Linked DNA regions of Lytechinus pictus. The protein of the gene in region 1 purifies or fractionates together with the protein of each later gene. This does not show direct contact. Links are inferred from orthologs where the notes say so. Each region holds a gene or a part of one and is shown on either strand. Other genes may lie near its edges.

Evidence for each region.
Region 2: the proteins of crk-like protein (region 1) and rap guanine nucleotide exchange factor 1-like purify together in Homo sapiens (affinity purification with western blotting; 16 studies listed by BioGRID and IntAct, with this or other methods). This does not show direct contact. The link is inferred for Lytechinus pictus from reciprocal best matches to the Homo sapiens genes CRKL and RAPGEF1.

What each region holds. Positions count from the first base shown.
Region 1 is NC_087250.1:23,204,977-23,212,557, reverse strand, and holds the start of crk-like protein, read left to right. Parts: upstream 1-4,229; 5' UTR 4,230-4,576; coding exon 4,577-4,629; intron 4,630-7,581. UniProt on the Homo sapiens protein: May mediate the transduction of intracellular signals.
Region 2 is NC_087259.1:23,035,439-23,043,172, reverse strand, and holds the start of rap guanine nucleotide exchange factor 1-like, read left to right. Parts: upstream 1-4,411; 5' UTR 4,412-4,743; intron 4,744-5,368; exon of another isoform or gene 5,369-5,697; intron 5,698-5,890; exon of another isoform or gene 5,891-6,684; intron 6,685-7,734. UniProt on the Homo sapiens protein: Guanine nucleotide-releasing protein that binds to SH3 domain of CRK and GRB2/ASH. Transduces signals from CRK to activate RAS. Involved in cell branching and adhesion mediated by BCAR1-CRK-RAPGEF1 signaling and activation of RAP1.

The sequences.
Region 1 (7,581 bases):
TGTCCGATTTTTCTTTATCTGTTGATATCACACTATTTTCAGCCCGGAGCATCCCTTTAAGCCTCGCTCGTCGATGTTGAGCCATGACGAGGCAACGCAAAAATGTTATCGTCAAATTTTACAAAATAAAATCAACAAAATTACAGTATTTTGTTCTTGATAATACGGTGAACACTGTACGCTCAAAGATACGGTACACTACTCACTTTTAAACTGCCCCCATAAGGTCATCAATACACCACACTGTAAAAGCTGTGGCGTTAAAACCAGTTGGTGTTAATAGAGGACCACACCCTGGGGTGTTAAAATGACACCTTATAGATTGAACATAACACCATAGAGTGTTAATATAACAACCAAAGGTGTCGTATAACACCTATAGGTGTGTTAAACTATAACACTGTCAATTTACCACCGGTGTAAAATAACTGATGTGGTCCTCTATGTACACCTGCATGTTAACACCACAGTTTTTGCTGTGCAGATTCGGAGATGTTCCTCCACCAACCCTGACCAAGGGCAGGCCATTTTCTTCGACAGACGTATACGCCGTGACAGAAGCCAGCTTTGTGCACGGCACGAAACAGCGCGCAACATTTTTATTCAATGATGAATAATTTCAGATTTCTTTGGCGCGAAAATAGCGGTCACGTAACTCGTTTTATTCAATGTTTAATAACTTTTAGATTTTATCAATATATCGTTCGATATTTTTATTCAACATGTTCAACGCAAAGTTATAAAGCAACTACAGCTTTTTATACAACTTTCGCGATTTTTTAAAATACAATTCTAATTCAACTCATGCAATTTTTATAGATATACCGCGTTTCGTGTGTTTATGGGTGCATAATTATGTTTAAAGGTCCATCCCAGAAAAAACTTTGATTTTAATAAATTGAGAAAAATAAAACAAGCATTATGCTGAAAATTTCATCAAAATCGGATATAAAATAAGAAAGTTATGACATTTAAAACTTCGTTTATTTTTCACAAAACAGTGATATGCACAACTTAATGACATGCAAATGAGACAGTCGATGATATCCCTCACTCATTTTTTCTTTTGTTTTTCATTGTTTGAATTATATAATATTTCATTTTTTACAGATTTGACAATAAGTACCAACTTGATTGAACCATATAGTATCAAACAATGCTAATTCCACACGTTCTGGGAGGAATTAATCTTCTTTTCACAGGACAACAGGGAGAAAATTTGAATATTTCACATTTCATATAATAAAATACAAAAGAATTCGTGAGTAAGTGATGTCATCAGTCCCCTCATTTGCATATCGACAAGATGTGAATATAACACTGTTTCGCGAAATTAAGCGAAACTTTAAAATGTCATAATTTCCTTATTTTACAACCGATTTTGATGAAACTTTCAGTGTTATGTTTGTTGGATTTTTCTCTTTTTATTTAAATCAACTTTTTTGTTGGGGTGGACTTGTCCTTTAAGAATAAGTAACCCCTTATTGAAAATGGAACTTTTTTCAAAACTGTCTTAAGCAATGTAATTTGGCAATACCTATGGGCAGAAAAGATCTATGCAAAAATCCATTTGTATATTTATGGAAGAGTGAGCACGCATCGAGGGGGAATGGCATTTTCAATGACACAGACTCTTTTGATGGGTTATTAAGTGAATAATGGGGGCAAATTCTGTTTCAAATGTGACTTAATCACTGTTGTTTTTATCATCCATCATTTTTATCACCACACACTTCCCGAACTTTTTACAGGCATGGTTGAGTGAGCACACTTGAAAACTTGGGAATGAATGCTCTTTATAATGCATAAATGCATGCTTTTCCTAACAATTTCTCAGGATCAGTTGAATTTATGGACTAATGGTGGATCCAGATTTCTTAAATGGGGAGGGGACCGAGAAATAGGGGGGGGGGGGCACTAACATTTTACAATTTTAATTTGAAAGTTATATAGAGGATACTACCGTAAACCCCTATGATGATACGGCACAAAAAATGATGTTCCCTCAACCATGAACATACGTTATCAAAATTGTGTGTGGATTGGCTATAATTATGATGGATAGTAAAACAGCATCAGCACCATAAAATTCACCAAAAAACGAATTCCGCCCAACTTTGTATTTACACGATCTGAAAAAAGGATTCTTGTAACTTTCGAAAATTGTCATTTTTAGTTCAATCTTTGATTACTCATGCATGACTCAACCGATCAATCTGATTTTATTAATAAAACCAATTATCTATCTATCTATATCTATCTATCTCATTTTCCCACAGGAATTTCTGAATGATGGTGATAATATTACCTACGAAATATTTTATCTCAAAATTATTTCAAACGTTACAGCAATTTTATTTAGGGGACTTACTTTTTTGTTTGTGTATATACACAGACAAATCTACGCAATTATCATCTATATAGAGTGTTTTAGCGATACATTAAGGACGTTCCACAGTTGAAAATGAAACCCATGTCATTTTCATGAAATTTTGCACACTTGAGTTATTTTAGCACCTAAATATTCAAAAAATGCAAAAAATAACATGAGTTCATGTACTTGTTTTTTTTTGCTATCGAGCTTTGAACTTCACCCAAGCATTTGTAAGGTCTCGAGAAATACACAATAATAATAATTTGGGTTTCTAAACCCCATGACATCACAACGTTGAGTGTAAACCTCTATTAATCAGTCAAAATCTATCTAAATGTCACCAAATTTTACATTATAGTTCAGAATTATTTACTTAAGATGAAAAATCCACTCATATTGCTATTCATGGTTGCTCTTTAAAGAGAAGTAACACCTTTAATTGAAAAAAAGAAACATACATACAAATTAGAAATTTATATAACAAATTTACAGAGTATACAATAAATGCTGCATTTTATTTAAAACCCATGTCCTTTTTACAAAATTTTGCATGGTTTTTTGGCAAAGGTATACAAAAGAGGTGCCGGAACATTAAAAATTTGGGGTTCATGTGCCTGTTTTCAAAATACATGTATCAACACTTTTGTTTCGCAAAATAACGTGAGTTTAAAAACACACGCGCCAAAAGGCTTGTATCTTCATAAGGGAAAATTCTACACCACTATTCCATTTGATGAAACTCGAGGTAATATTCGTCATACTTTGCAGCACTGCAGAGGAAAGTCTTCTGAAGACTAGAGGCGTTTAAAAAAATTGGTCCATATACTATTTACAGCTTAGAGCTTCGTAAAATAACATATCAAGATTTGCTGTTAGAGTGCAGATGCTTGGATAGATGATAATAATCATATTGGATGGCTTTAGTACTTGGAATACCAGAAATATTCTGCGATTCGTGGAATATTTGCCGAAACTCTTGGAATATACTCTTTCGGAGCCATCCAATATAACATAAGTGTTTTATAGCTTTCCAATTTTCTCTGCACCAGTATCTTTAGTCTCTTCCCCCTTCTCTCTCTCTTAGGTGATCCCTCCACTGTTTTGGAGATTCTAAGATACGAATAGAACAAATCCCAGTCCGGTAAATTACAGATTCAGCATCAAGTTGGAGCGGTAGTCATGAATTTTATGTAGAAAAAAAGAGGGATTTAAGGAGCAGACTATAATTAACTTCTGAAGGGAGACCAGGTTGATGGGTTAATAGGGTAGCACAGGAAAATTGGTGTGGATCCTCAGCAGTATACAAGTCTAGGTAATGTGGATGGTGCAGTGAGACACTCCTCGACTCTGTGTATGAAGTCTTGGCGTAGGTGATCAAGAGAGGAGCACGATCCGACAAAGTGTTCTACTGTCTCATCATATGAGGCACAAAGGGGGCAAGTACGGGTGGAGGACTTTCCTAATGTGTGGAGGCGATACTGAGTAAGATACGTGGAAGAAAGTAATTGGGCTCTGACAATGAGTGCATAACGGATGACAGGGGAATGTGTGGTCTTCGGATAAAGGAGATTGTTGGAGGATGGGATGTGATCAATCCAGAACTTGAGAGTTGACTTCGCACGGATGCCCTGTGCAACGAGATCATTGACGGCAATGTAGATCTTGTTTAACCAGTTTCTTAAAGGTGGAGTAAGGAAGTGGTTTCGAGATATTGCTGTGAAGATCAGGAAGGTCGTATTTATTATTATTATTTTTTTTTACAATCGGTCCTTGGTTATATTTTTAGGTTTTTCCCAAAAACATATCCCACGAAGTGATGTGTATAACGCCCTCTATTTTACCCATGAAACCCGTCACGTCATAGACGGCCGTGCTATTTTGGCTAAGTGGCCTGTATTGAAGTTTGACAGAAATAACACACACAGTTTCTATTGGACTTCTCGAACTTCCTGGAACTAATGGCTAAATAGCGTTTGTGTACATGTACGTGTGTGTGAATGGACTGTCAGGGACTTCTGCGAGTCAAGATTTTCATCGTCGGTTTTTCATCACGATTTCGGCATCGATGAAGACTCTTCTCGAATTTGACAGGAAGGGGTTTTATTGATCAACGGGATAATTTGATTCTTTGGAGGTGTATTTTGGTCGAACTTTTCAGGAAACCATCTCAATCGGACGATAAGTGAAGAGGGTTCGTCAATTATGGCGTCCCAAGACGATCTCAAAACCCCGTATGATGATAACAATAAACATTTGTAAGTTGATAATTTGATGATACGAGTGAAAATCGTTTGTATGCGATGACACAATCGAATTTGATTATTTGATCTGTCATGTCATTAAAGTCATAAGAGCATTTCGTTTATCGGAAAGATGACTCGTTTGAGTAGTGTTGAGCAGGAAATTCGCTCACACCCAAAATAGCAAATCTTGTGTGTAGTCCCACACTATCAAAATTGTGTCAGTCCTCAGGCTTAGCTATTTACAGTAGGCCTAGAGTTAACTTGTTTTTTGTCAAATTGACATGGTCTTCGATTATTAAGGATTTATCTGGAAGCCAGGGGTATGCCAGTATGTAATCTTTGCTGTTAAAGTGTTGCTTTGATTTGCTTAGTTGTTACTGTTACTGTTAATAGGCTGCATGACGCACATTCCGAGTGTAGAAAAAGTGTGTGACTGCGTCTGCGAGTAGGCAGGACAACAAAGTTTAGAAAGCTCTCTTTCTTGTGATGGGTCAAAATGCGCACTAAAGCTGCGCTAACGAAAGCGGGAAATTTAACTACGATCAACATATATTTTCGACACTTAACAGTGCACCGCTGATCGTGTGTGTTCGGTAATCAAGTTTTCAGACATAAATCATGTTGCTGTTTAAATTTGAAAATCGACATTAAACACACCCTTATCAGGATTAATTTCCCAGAAAGTAGGATGGGGGGTCGGGTGTCCGGACACTTTATAATATATTTTTGAAGCCTTTTTTGTCTTTGGATTACACTAAAAATACGAAATCAATAGTTGTACAAATCATCTTCTATTTTGTTCTCTATAATATTTCCTGACATTTTGTACTAAAAATTGATAAAACTTCCCTTGTAAATTTTTCCAAATGACTTTCTAAAATTGATCGTCCGGACACACAACAACTGGGTATACTGTGCACTGGAAGCGGCTGCCAGGGCTACACATGTAAAAGATCATCAATTTTTTAAAGTAAATTCAGCCGTATGTATGGCAAGTTCCCCCAAGTCTGCGCAGTCCCCCTTGTCTGCGCACACGCGTATCTGCGCGATTCTAGTAAAAGAAGATACGCAATGAGCACGAACTTACACATGCAATACATAGACAGGTATTTGTAAAAAAATCCGACTCAAAATGGTGGAAAAATAATAAATTTAGGGCATTTCATGTGACGGCCTCAAAATGCAGCCTTTCTCATCAAAATCCCCGAATCGTGTGCAAAGTGAATGAGTGTGCAGACATGGGGTACCATTTGTTTTTTCAATCTGAAAATGACTGCCCGAGGTTTTTCCAAGAAAATCCTATATTTTCTTTCATTTTTTAATGAGAAATTTTGTACACTTACTCTTAATAATATAAGGAACATTATTAACTGAAAAATTTTGTGAAATAAGAAGAAATTCATGTTAAATCTTAACTCAAATTGTTAGGTGCGCAGACTTGGGGCCCACCATCATACACTTAAAGAGACATGTAGATCTAGAGGCCTACACAAAATAAGAATACCTCTGTTTTCAATTTTACAAGTAGAGTAAAACTGGGTTGGTACTCGGCCAAGAGTCGGTGTGTGGCTGTTCAGCAATACACCACTGAAATCACCAACTCACTCTAGACATGTACACCACACATTTACTCACTCACTCCCACACTACAAAATCATCCGGCGACATGGACAAAATTTTGAATAAAAAGTGAAATTTTCGCATAAAATATCACACTTGGTAGGGGAGATCGGGGTTAGTTGTCCCACACTTTTGACAAAATGGCTGTTAGTTGGAACATTTTTGACAAAATGGCTGTAAAATCCAAATAGATTTTATTTGAGAAACAACATATCAGCTTGAAGCATATATCTAAGGGCTTCAAATGTACGCCATAAAATGTTCAACTCTATGTTTACTGAAAAAGTCCACCTTGAACAAGACTATCACAAGCGTTCCAACTTTGGCGTAAATATTCATATCTGAATGACACGCGCCTCAAAACCCAAGATAACAACAACAACAACAACTTACCCCATATACGGGGTAAGTTGGAACATGGTATGGTGTAAGTTGGAACACTGCATGGTCAATTAAGAATTATACTAAAACTACTTACAAATGTAATATTACATGGTTTTAGCCTATTTGCGTTATTTTTTTCAAGTTCAAAATATTAAAAGTGGCTTTGTTGAACTTTATGTTTTCTAGTATACATAGCCACTCATGCAAGCCTACTGTGTAGTAGAATTCCGCTTATTTGTGTGTGTTTGATTTTACATGCAAATGATGCAATTAAGTGTACTATCAGCAATTTCATGTACTTCTGCATCAAATTTACATGACAACAATTAATTGTTTATATTTTTTAATTAATTAATTATGCAAATAAGCAAATTAAATTTGCCCTAAATTTTTTTTTTAATGTTTTTGCCTTTAACTCTATTTATTAAGCTAGTAGAATGCTAATTTTTGGTGAGAGTATCAATATTTTTTCCGCAAAAAATATAATTTCTTATGTATTTTTTGTTTTTAAAATTTGTATTTCTTTGTTTTTTTTAACCTTTGTTTTTTATTGTTTTTGCCGATGAACTTTGTCAGGGACTCTTGCGATCATAGCATAAAATAAATCCATTTGAACCAACAAAAGTAAAAATAGTCATACATTATGATTTTTGGTTGAAAAACACAATCACGTTTTTGAGCAATTTTTGGTCTGACATGCATGTACAAAATGTTGCGTGATTTTGAAACTGCGCACCCAGGTATCGCAAATTTGGTCTTAAAAGATGCGCAAGACTTGAAAGTAAAAAGTCAGAGAGCGGTGCGTTCAAAAAAATTTGCGCGATGGCGTAGTGACGAAATTTGTCCGGGGGGGGCTCAAATTGACCCCCCCCTATATTGTAGTTTGATAAGGGGTAATATTGCATTAAGGGCCTGCAATAGGCCTTAAATGCACACTCAGACCTAACTGAGAAACAAAAC
Region 2 (7,734 bases), on another chromosome or scaffold:
ATGCAGATTATATCCAAAAACAAGGAAATATTTACTGTCATCCATATCACCATGAAGGCCATTGGATAAACAAATGGATATTATGGCCATGTACCTGTAATGAGATCCGGTCATTTTTCTGGGATTCCCCTCGACCCATACCTAGTCAAAGTTGATGTAATAGTCCAGAAGAAGTTATCATGTCAGAGGCGGCGGAACATCAGGCTCGGTTAAAGAAAGTGGAGGGGCACCTGTTGCCTGCCAAACAATAGGTGCCCCTCCACTTTCATTGTATGAGCCTGACGTTCTGCCGCCTCTGTATCATGTAGTGAAGGATAGATATCCCAACGTTTTTTAATTGAATTCTATTTTAGAAAGTGGTGGTGGGCAATTGCACCGGATGGCAACATTTGACCCAAGTTTTTAGGGCGCCCAAGCAACCTCACGTTCTAACTTGCCGTCATTTTAAGAAGGTCAAGTACACAGTTCCATTCAGGGTCCTGGTAGAATAAAACTTAAGACCACTTTGGACATGTTTCAATAAATGGAGCTTGTGCTTGCATGTTATGGTGTACTATCAGATTGATTGCACATAGGTGCTTCAGTCACACTGGTGGAACCGACCCCAGGCCAACCAAGGCTGTTACATTATTACCAATGACATTCCATCAGTTGGATTGGTGTCAATGGCATTGGTGTGACTGGTCAGACTGGATCATTATGCAGGAGGAGCCTGGAGAGTTTTCAATTTGTTCCATGGTATTTGTGGCCAATGCATTATATCATGGAGGGAAAACTTCTATCTCCATGATTAAAAGTGTGTTGAACTTGGCCACATCAAAGAGTGATGAATAGCAGCAAATGTCAACAACAGCTGATACTACAGTGGGTAGTGCTATTAAAATGAATATGATTTCCACTATAAAAAATATCCTATCATCACGTAGCCATTGTTTAAGGTGATGTTGCTACAAACACAAATATTCAAGTTGCGTTTTTGCTGGGATATCCTGTACCTTGACTTGAAATAGGGTTAGGGTTATCAAGCAAAGGGCTGAGTTCCTTGCATTTACTTCACATCAATGAATATATTTATTGAAAGACTTCAAGATAGCATAACATGCATTTCATATTCTTTTTTTTTTGTATAAAACCAGCTACTGAAAGATAGCATGGGCTGAAAATTTCAGGATGTAGGCATAATCTTTGTGCTGCTTTTTTTTTGTAAAATAAGTGTTCAAAAGGGCCTTTATTATAATAAACATAAAAATATCACTGAGACAGGGCAGTATTAATGTCCTCACCTTCAAGTCTGCAATTCAAATATTCTCAAAGAGTTTGGTTGTGAGATTTGAATGGAAAATGAATAAGCCCAACGTATTCACATTATTGTACCTATACAGAAGCTTCATATAATTTGAATCAGATGCTATACCCGAACCCAGTACCCAATATACAATTGAATACTATCAATAACACACGACAGTGCTAAATAGGATACGTTGTTTAATTGAAATCAGTAAGAGATGGACTTTCTGCTGCTATAGGAAAGTGAGATAGGAAGCTAGGAACACCCTCCACGTCCGCTAAAGTTCTCAAGCAGGAAGTATAGCCTAAAACAGAGAAGAAAGTTTGAGATGAAGCTATATATCCTATCGCTTTCCACGAAACTATTTATGTGGGTGCTTCGTACAGAATGTTTGTTTTCTTTACTATTTTTTCGATCGCGTGCATGCAAATGTTTCATATAAGAGGGCATGGTGATTAAAAGCAAGAAAAAATAATAAGTGGTTTTCACTTTTAATTGATCTCAAATTATCTTCAAATTTTTTAATTAAGTGTCCATGTGGTATTTAAAGAATCTTTTATAATTCATTAGAGTTAGATTATCGATATGAAGAAAACGATTAAAAACCCAAACTAAAAAAAAATAAAATGTTGATGATTGCAAATTACCCAAACTTAACTCTTAAGCAGAATTTACAACTGAAAGAAAGGGAGAAAAAACATGATAAAGTATATAATGTACAATTGGTCTTCTGATTTAGTATACTATATATACCACCAGAAACTCGCAGGCCCTCATGGTATAGGGCCTACATGTACCTTGCTGCTTTGACTAGAAACAATGCATGCAATATTTCATTAGCAACATGCATGTATATAGCATGCAAATACTGAAATTTTTGTCAGGCAGCCGACAAAGAAAATTTTTGCTATATACCACTTAAAAATTCAGAGTGTTTATTACCATATTTTGTAACTGCATTTTTAGTTTCAATCTTGATGGATCAAAAATAGAATCTCATTAAAAGTTTCTGTACACTTAATCTTGAATCTGTGATGTTAGTCTGACATTTTTAGAATATTACATTTTACTTTTTTATATCTATTTGAATGCAGAGTAAAAAGAAAATAGTAAAATATGATATGATTTGGACATTGATTCTGAATAATTATCTCATTTTATGACCAACCTGAAGGTTATTTTTAATACAGATTTTAAACGTAAATAATTCTTGTCCAGTAATAGATAACAAATTATTATGAATTTCCTGTTCAAAATTAATTCCACAATTTGCCAACTTTGTCTTTCCGTTTCGTTTCTTTGCACCGGAAGATAATCCTTTCATGATCACTGCAATAATCATTAATCAAAGTTTGATGTACTTTATGAATGATATCATTCTTTATGTAGAAGTATATATGATGTTGATATCACTTTATTTGGAGAAACATAAAAATGTGACCTTTTATTTTCTTTCGATTTTTACTAATATCAAACATGTACGTGCATGATCCATGTAGGCCTACACTGTAGGTGACTTTCAACAGAATTTTAGAAGATCATAATCGTATAGTTTCACTTTATGGTAGTCATATAGATAAGTGCAGTGATATCACTATTCTGTTGAACTATGGATGTAAAATAATAGGAATGATCATGGGATATCCATGAACTTATCACAAAATATATTGGATGTTAAATATGTTTAGTCTGTGATATAACATTTTTTTGAGATGAATCATATTTATGATATGATATCTCTTGATAAGGAGAAATGCTGTATTTACTTTTTCATTCTTGAAAGCAGAGGAATTAACTTGAGGAGTAAACCTATGCATGGTCAGTGAGATACCTAGAACATTACATATTCACATTCAAAGGAATTTTAATGGATCATAATGTATATTAAATGGTATTACTTTATTTGGAGAAATGGGCCAGCCACTGACATCATCCGGTTCCATTTTCAGTTCCACACACACAATAATAATTAGTCATAAATTTCATATTTCCTTCTTACTCATTTCAGGCTCTAAAAATACAATTGGTGCTTTATTCACCAAGTTATCACTTTGCGATGAAACGTGTGATAAGTCACAATGATGAAAAAAATGAACTTCATACTTGTGTGATAATAAAAAAGAGAAAGACCTGTGTGAAAGATACTTCATTTATTCAGTGATTGCATATCTTGTTGAAATGATTAACATTGATTTTCATTATTATTATGAGCATACATGTAATTAGTCAAGTACAATTACGTTGCGAAAAACAAAACAAAACCAAGTGCTGCTCCTAGTACTTTACTTAGTACATACTTCTTACTACTGCTTCCTATTACTGTATCCTTTTTTACTCCTTACTAGCAGGCCTACTTACTATGTTATAGTTTCTAGTTAATACTTACTGATTACTACTTTTACTACTACTATTTACTACTTTCTACTTCTTAATACTGATTGCGATTGTTAATACCAGGGGTTTGAGAGTTCAGATTTTTATCTGATTTCAGATTTTTTTTCGTTTTGATTTTCAGCTTATTTTTGGCTTTCCTCTGTACAAATAGTATGGGAGCTCTTTCTATTTCAGACTTTCTACAAGTTTCAGCTTTTTTCAGATCTTTTTATTTGTGACCACTCACACCTCTGGTTACTACTGGTATCACTATTGCTACAATATTTTTGCCACTACTATAAAAAAAAAAAAAAAAAAACTATTACTTGTTTCTAGTGCAAGCAGTATATATGTGTTCATTATCTTTCTTATTTTAAATGTGCAGCATTGACACAAAAGAGGTGTTATGATTACAAAACTGCAAAGAGAAATGGGTTGGGATGAGAGAGTGGGGTTAATCAAGTGGCCTTTTGTGGCATGTGAAATCTTGAAAGCAGTATCAATTTGACAAAGTTCTAAGTGTCTTAAATTAGAAGTTCACATAACCGCTTGATCAACCCCTTAATTTCCAGTTTAATTCTTGGCATTCATCATTAGATCCTCCTCCCAGCTCTATTTCAGAACCAGTTCACAATCACCAAGGGAATACCCCACACACTCAGACTCTAACTAATCTCTCGTAATTGCATTGATTTGAGGCTGGTTCAGCAACGGCCGACCGCGGAAGCTACGTCGATTCCTCCTCTCCTTGCAGACACACGACAGACAGCTCTCTCACCGCTCGGCATTTCTTTGACGTCTCAGGAAACAGTCATAAGTCTCTTGTCTGTGGCTGTTAGCCTCCCTGATCTATAAGTGGGAGAGGAATTTTACATTTATAGCTATGTGGGGTATACCTCTGGATAGACTGTTCTTGGTGATTTGGCAGGTGTATTAACGAGGGAATCATTTGCTGGCATTTCTTCATTCAAGAAGTCAGAGGTCTTTATTCACTAATGTGCTTGAAATCACAGGATGTAATTTTGTGGTATTTGAAGCGAACTTTCTTTGGAACTTGAATATTGCAGAGTTAACAGCAAAAGGTGATAAAGGTATTAAAAAGGTATACCAGTTAGATTGAATCTTTTCAAGTTAATACACATCTAGTTTATAATACATTGATAAGTATAGACTTTATCTCAAATTTTAATAATCATTTTGTACATGTCAGTCGAGGGAACAAGCATCTATTGTCATCTTGATCCATTAATCTGGAATTGCAATTATAGTGATGACTGCTAATTCACTCATACAGGTTCTTTGAATAAATTGTTTCCGGGACTACCTATCAATTCATTTTTTTCAGTATTTCTAAACCACTCCGAGAGAAAGATGTATAAAAAACATGTACCAATATTCTAAATTAAAAAATAGTCAATACTTAGAGTTTTGTTACATGGCCTACTTAACTGTTTCGGCTGCATTGCAATGGCCTACTTAATTTGGACAAATTACCCTGAACCAGTTATGCGAGATAACATAGAAATGAATAAAAATATCTTTTTGAATACTTTCTGTACTTCAGTCAAGTGCGAAACCTAAATACAATATTCAGGGCCTTTGTGTACATGTATTGTGACGAAATAGGTAATATAGAAATGCACCATTGTGTGGGCTAGTTGTGCTATTGAACTTTTTCACAGACAGTGAATTTGCTTTGGGTGGGTGGGCATGTGACAGATTTTAGTTCAATCACACAGACTTCCAGTCATTTCCTGTCGATCGTTTATAGTTCTGCAATGAATCTGTTCATGATATTATTGTGAAGTCACTGAAGTGCATTTTCACTTGGACCATTCTGCATCCCGGACACTTTTCTTCAGCATTATTACAGTGTAGTGACTTGATATATGGCAACAAAATAGTGATTAATTATCAATATGATACTTTTGGGAGGACAAGTTGGAATTAGTATGATCAACAGCGTTCAACTGAAATAGGCTACACTGTGTTTGTTTTATCAAACAGAAAGGGAAGTTTGCTATACAGGAATACAGGTATGATCATTTTAATCGTACTTTAATTGCAGAGCAATAGGAGAAAATTTCGTTACAGGATAAACAATTTTTATTTTAATTCAGGGGATATGTAAGCATTCTTTATACAGATGATGTGACATTGCATTGCACCTATTTGTTGCATTATTGCATCACATTCGCTTCTCGTGGAAGCCTCGTACATAAATACAATATAGGCCTAGGTTTTAAACCTGCATTGGTCTTTGTACAGGAACATGTTTCCCAAACTTATCTTTCAAACAGATAAATAGTTTAGGCTCTTTTCACAGCACAACTTGTATGGTTACAGAGAATTGAATATGAATTTGAAGTACTGTAGGTGAGTGTTTCGTCTAGCCCTACAGCCCACACCTTCATGCGTTTGCATTGCACTGCAGTGGATCATAGCACAAGTTTGTTTACAGTTATGATATCTCTGATTCATCACACAATTCATAAAACTACACTGTAGTATGGTCTGAACCTATGGTATATATATATATTATTCTACTTGACACTATTTTTAATCAGTGCAGGGGAGTGTGATTGGGCTCCTGTTGTCGCCTGTTTACATTTATGATTAATCAAACAAGGTTGACCCATGTAGGTGAGGTTTACTTGTGACGTACAGCCACAGAGGGCTTTGGTCCTGATCGCTTGCTGAATCACGATCTGTTTTTGAACGGCATACCATTCATAGGGTACCACTCTTTGGGGCAGCCTAGTCCAAAGCACCGTCAGTGTCACTGCTGCAGCGCGAGGGTTGATGGGACGTTGTAACAGAAGCCTATTGGTGAAGTTTGTGGAAGTGAGCAGGAGAGAGTTTGTGTATGAGATGCCTGTCAGGATTAAAGGGACGTATCAACTATGTTGAGAGGCTGAGCTAGTTTCTGAGGACATTGCACTTGCTTGCTTTTATGGACAGTTAGGAGCTGAAAGTGATGTGATATTTGGAGGCATAGATCTACACACTAACTATTATTTTTTGTAAGTTTTGAAAGTTTTGAAAGTGAATAATTCCTGGAGAATGAAAATGAATTGATAAAGTTTCATTTTTCACTTGCTATTCCAGAGAACTTTACATGATGCAGTGTTGTGTTTTGTTCATATAACCCTTTTATTTTGTGCATGTTGCTATTTTTGCATTGGAATCCTTATTGGAAAGATTATGGGAGAGATTATATCAGTTATGAAGAAATTATTTTGAAGAGGAATGCAGTTACATTATTGTACAAGATTTCTTTATTCAAATTAAATCTAGGTTGGCTAAATAACAGGACAAAGGAAATGAGAAGTTATGTAATTTAAAATTGTGCGTGGTGAAAGATTTTGAAAGGAAATCAATTTCTTTCTTTTGTATAATTTTCCTTTCTTTTTTTATAACTTCCTTGTTTAAAACGTACAATGATTCATGAGTACAAACAATGTCAACTGTTCCTGATCTTTCATTTCTACATTTTGATGTTCCTTTGAAGATTGCACTTCAGGGAAAACATTTTATTATCAACATATTGCTAATGCTTTTTTGTATGGCATATGGATATGTTGGTAGCATTTATGATGATAAATGTTTACACTGATGATCAGACTTATCATTAGTTGCCCTGTGAAGTTGGCAAAAACAATGTATGATGCACCAATAGAATGTGCGAAGCCAAGAATGACACAACGTCTGGCAGTGGTACCACGTCTGGCAATGGTACCACGTATTGTCTACAAAGATTGGAAAGGATTCAACAAATTATTATGGACTTCATACCATGGCAATTTATAGATAGTGCACACAAGTGGGTGTGTATTGTAATACAACCATTTCCTGGTGTTATTCTGGTAAAATATTAACTGGCTGTCAAGTTTAATTCATGTAACAAAGACGCAACCGTTGTAAAAGAGTAACTTCTGTGTACGTGAGCTCTTCATAATTTATATTCTGTATGTCTGTGAATCGTTTCAATGTTTGATCAATTGCAACTCTTTGTAAAAAAAAAACCAGCGTCTAGGAGTGGGTTCTTTATATATTGTGAGTGCAATATATTT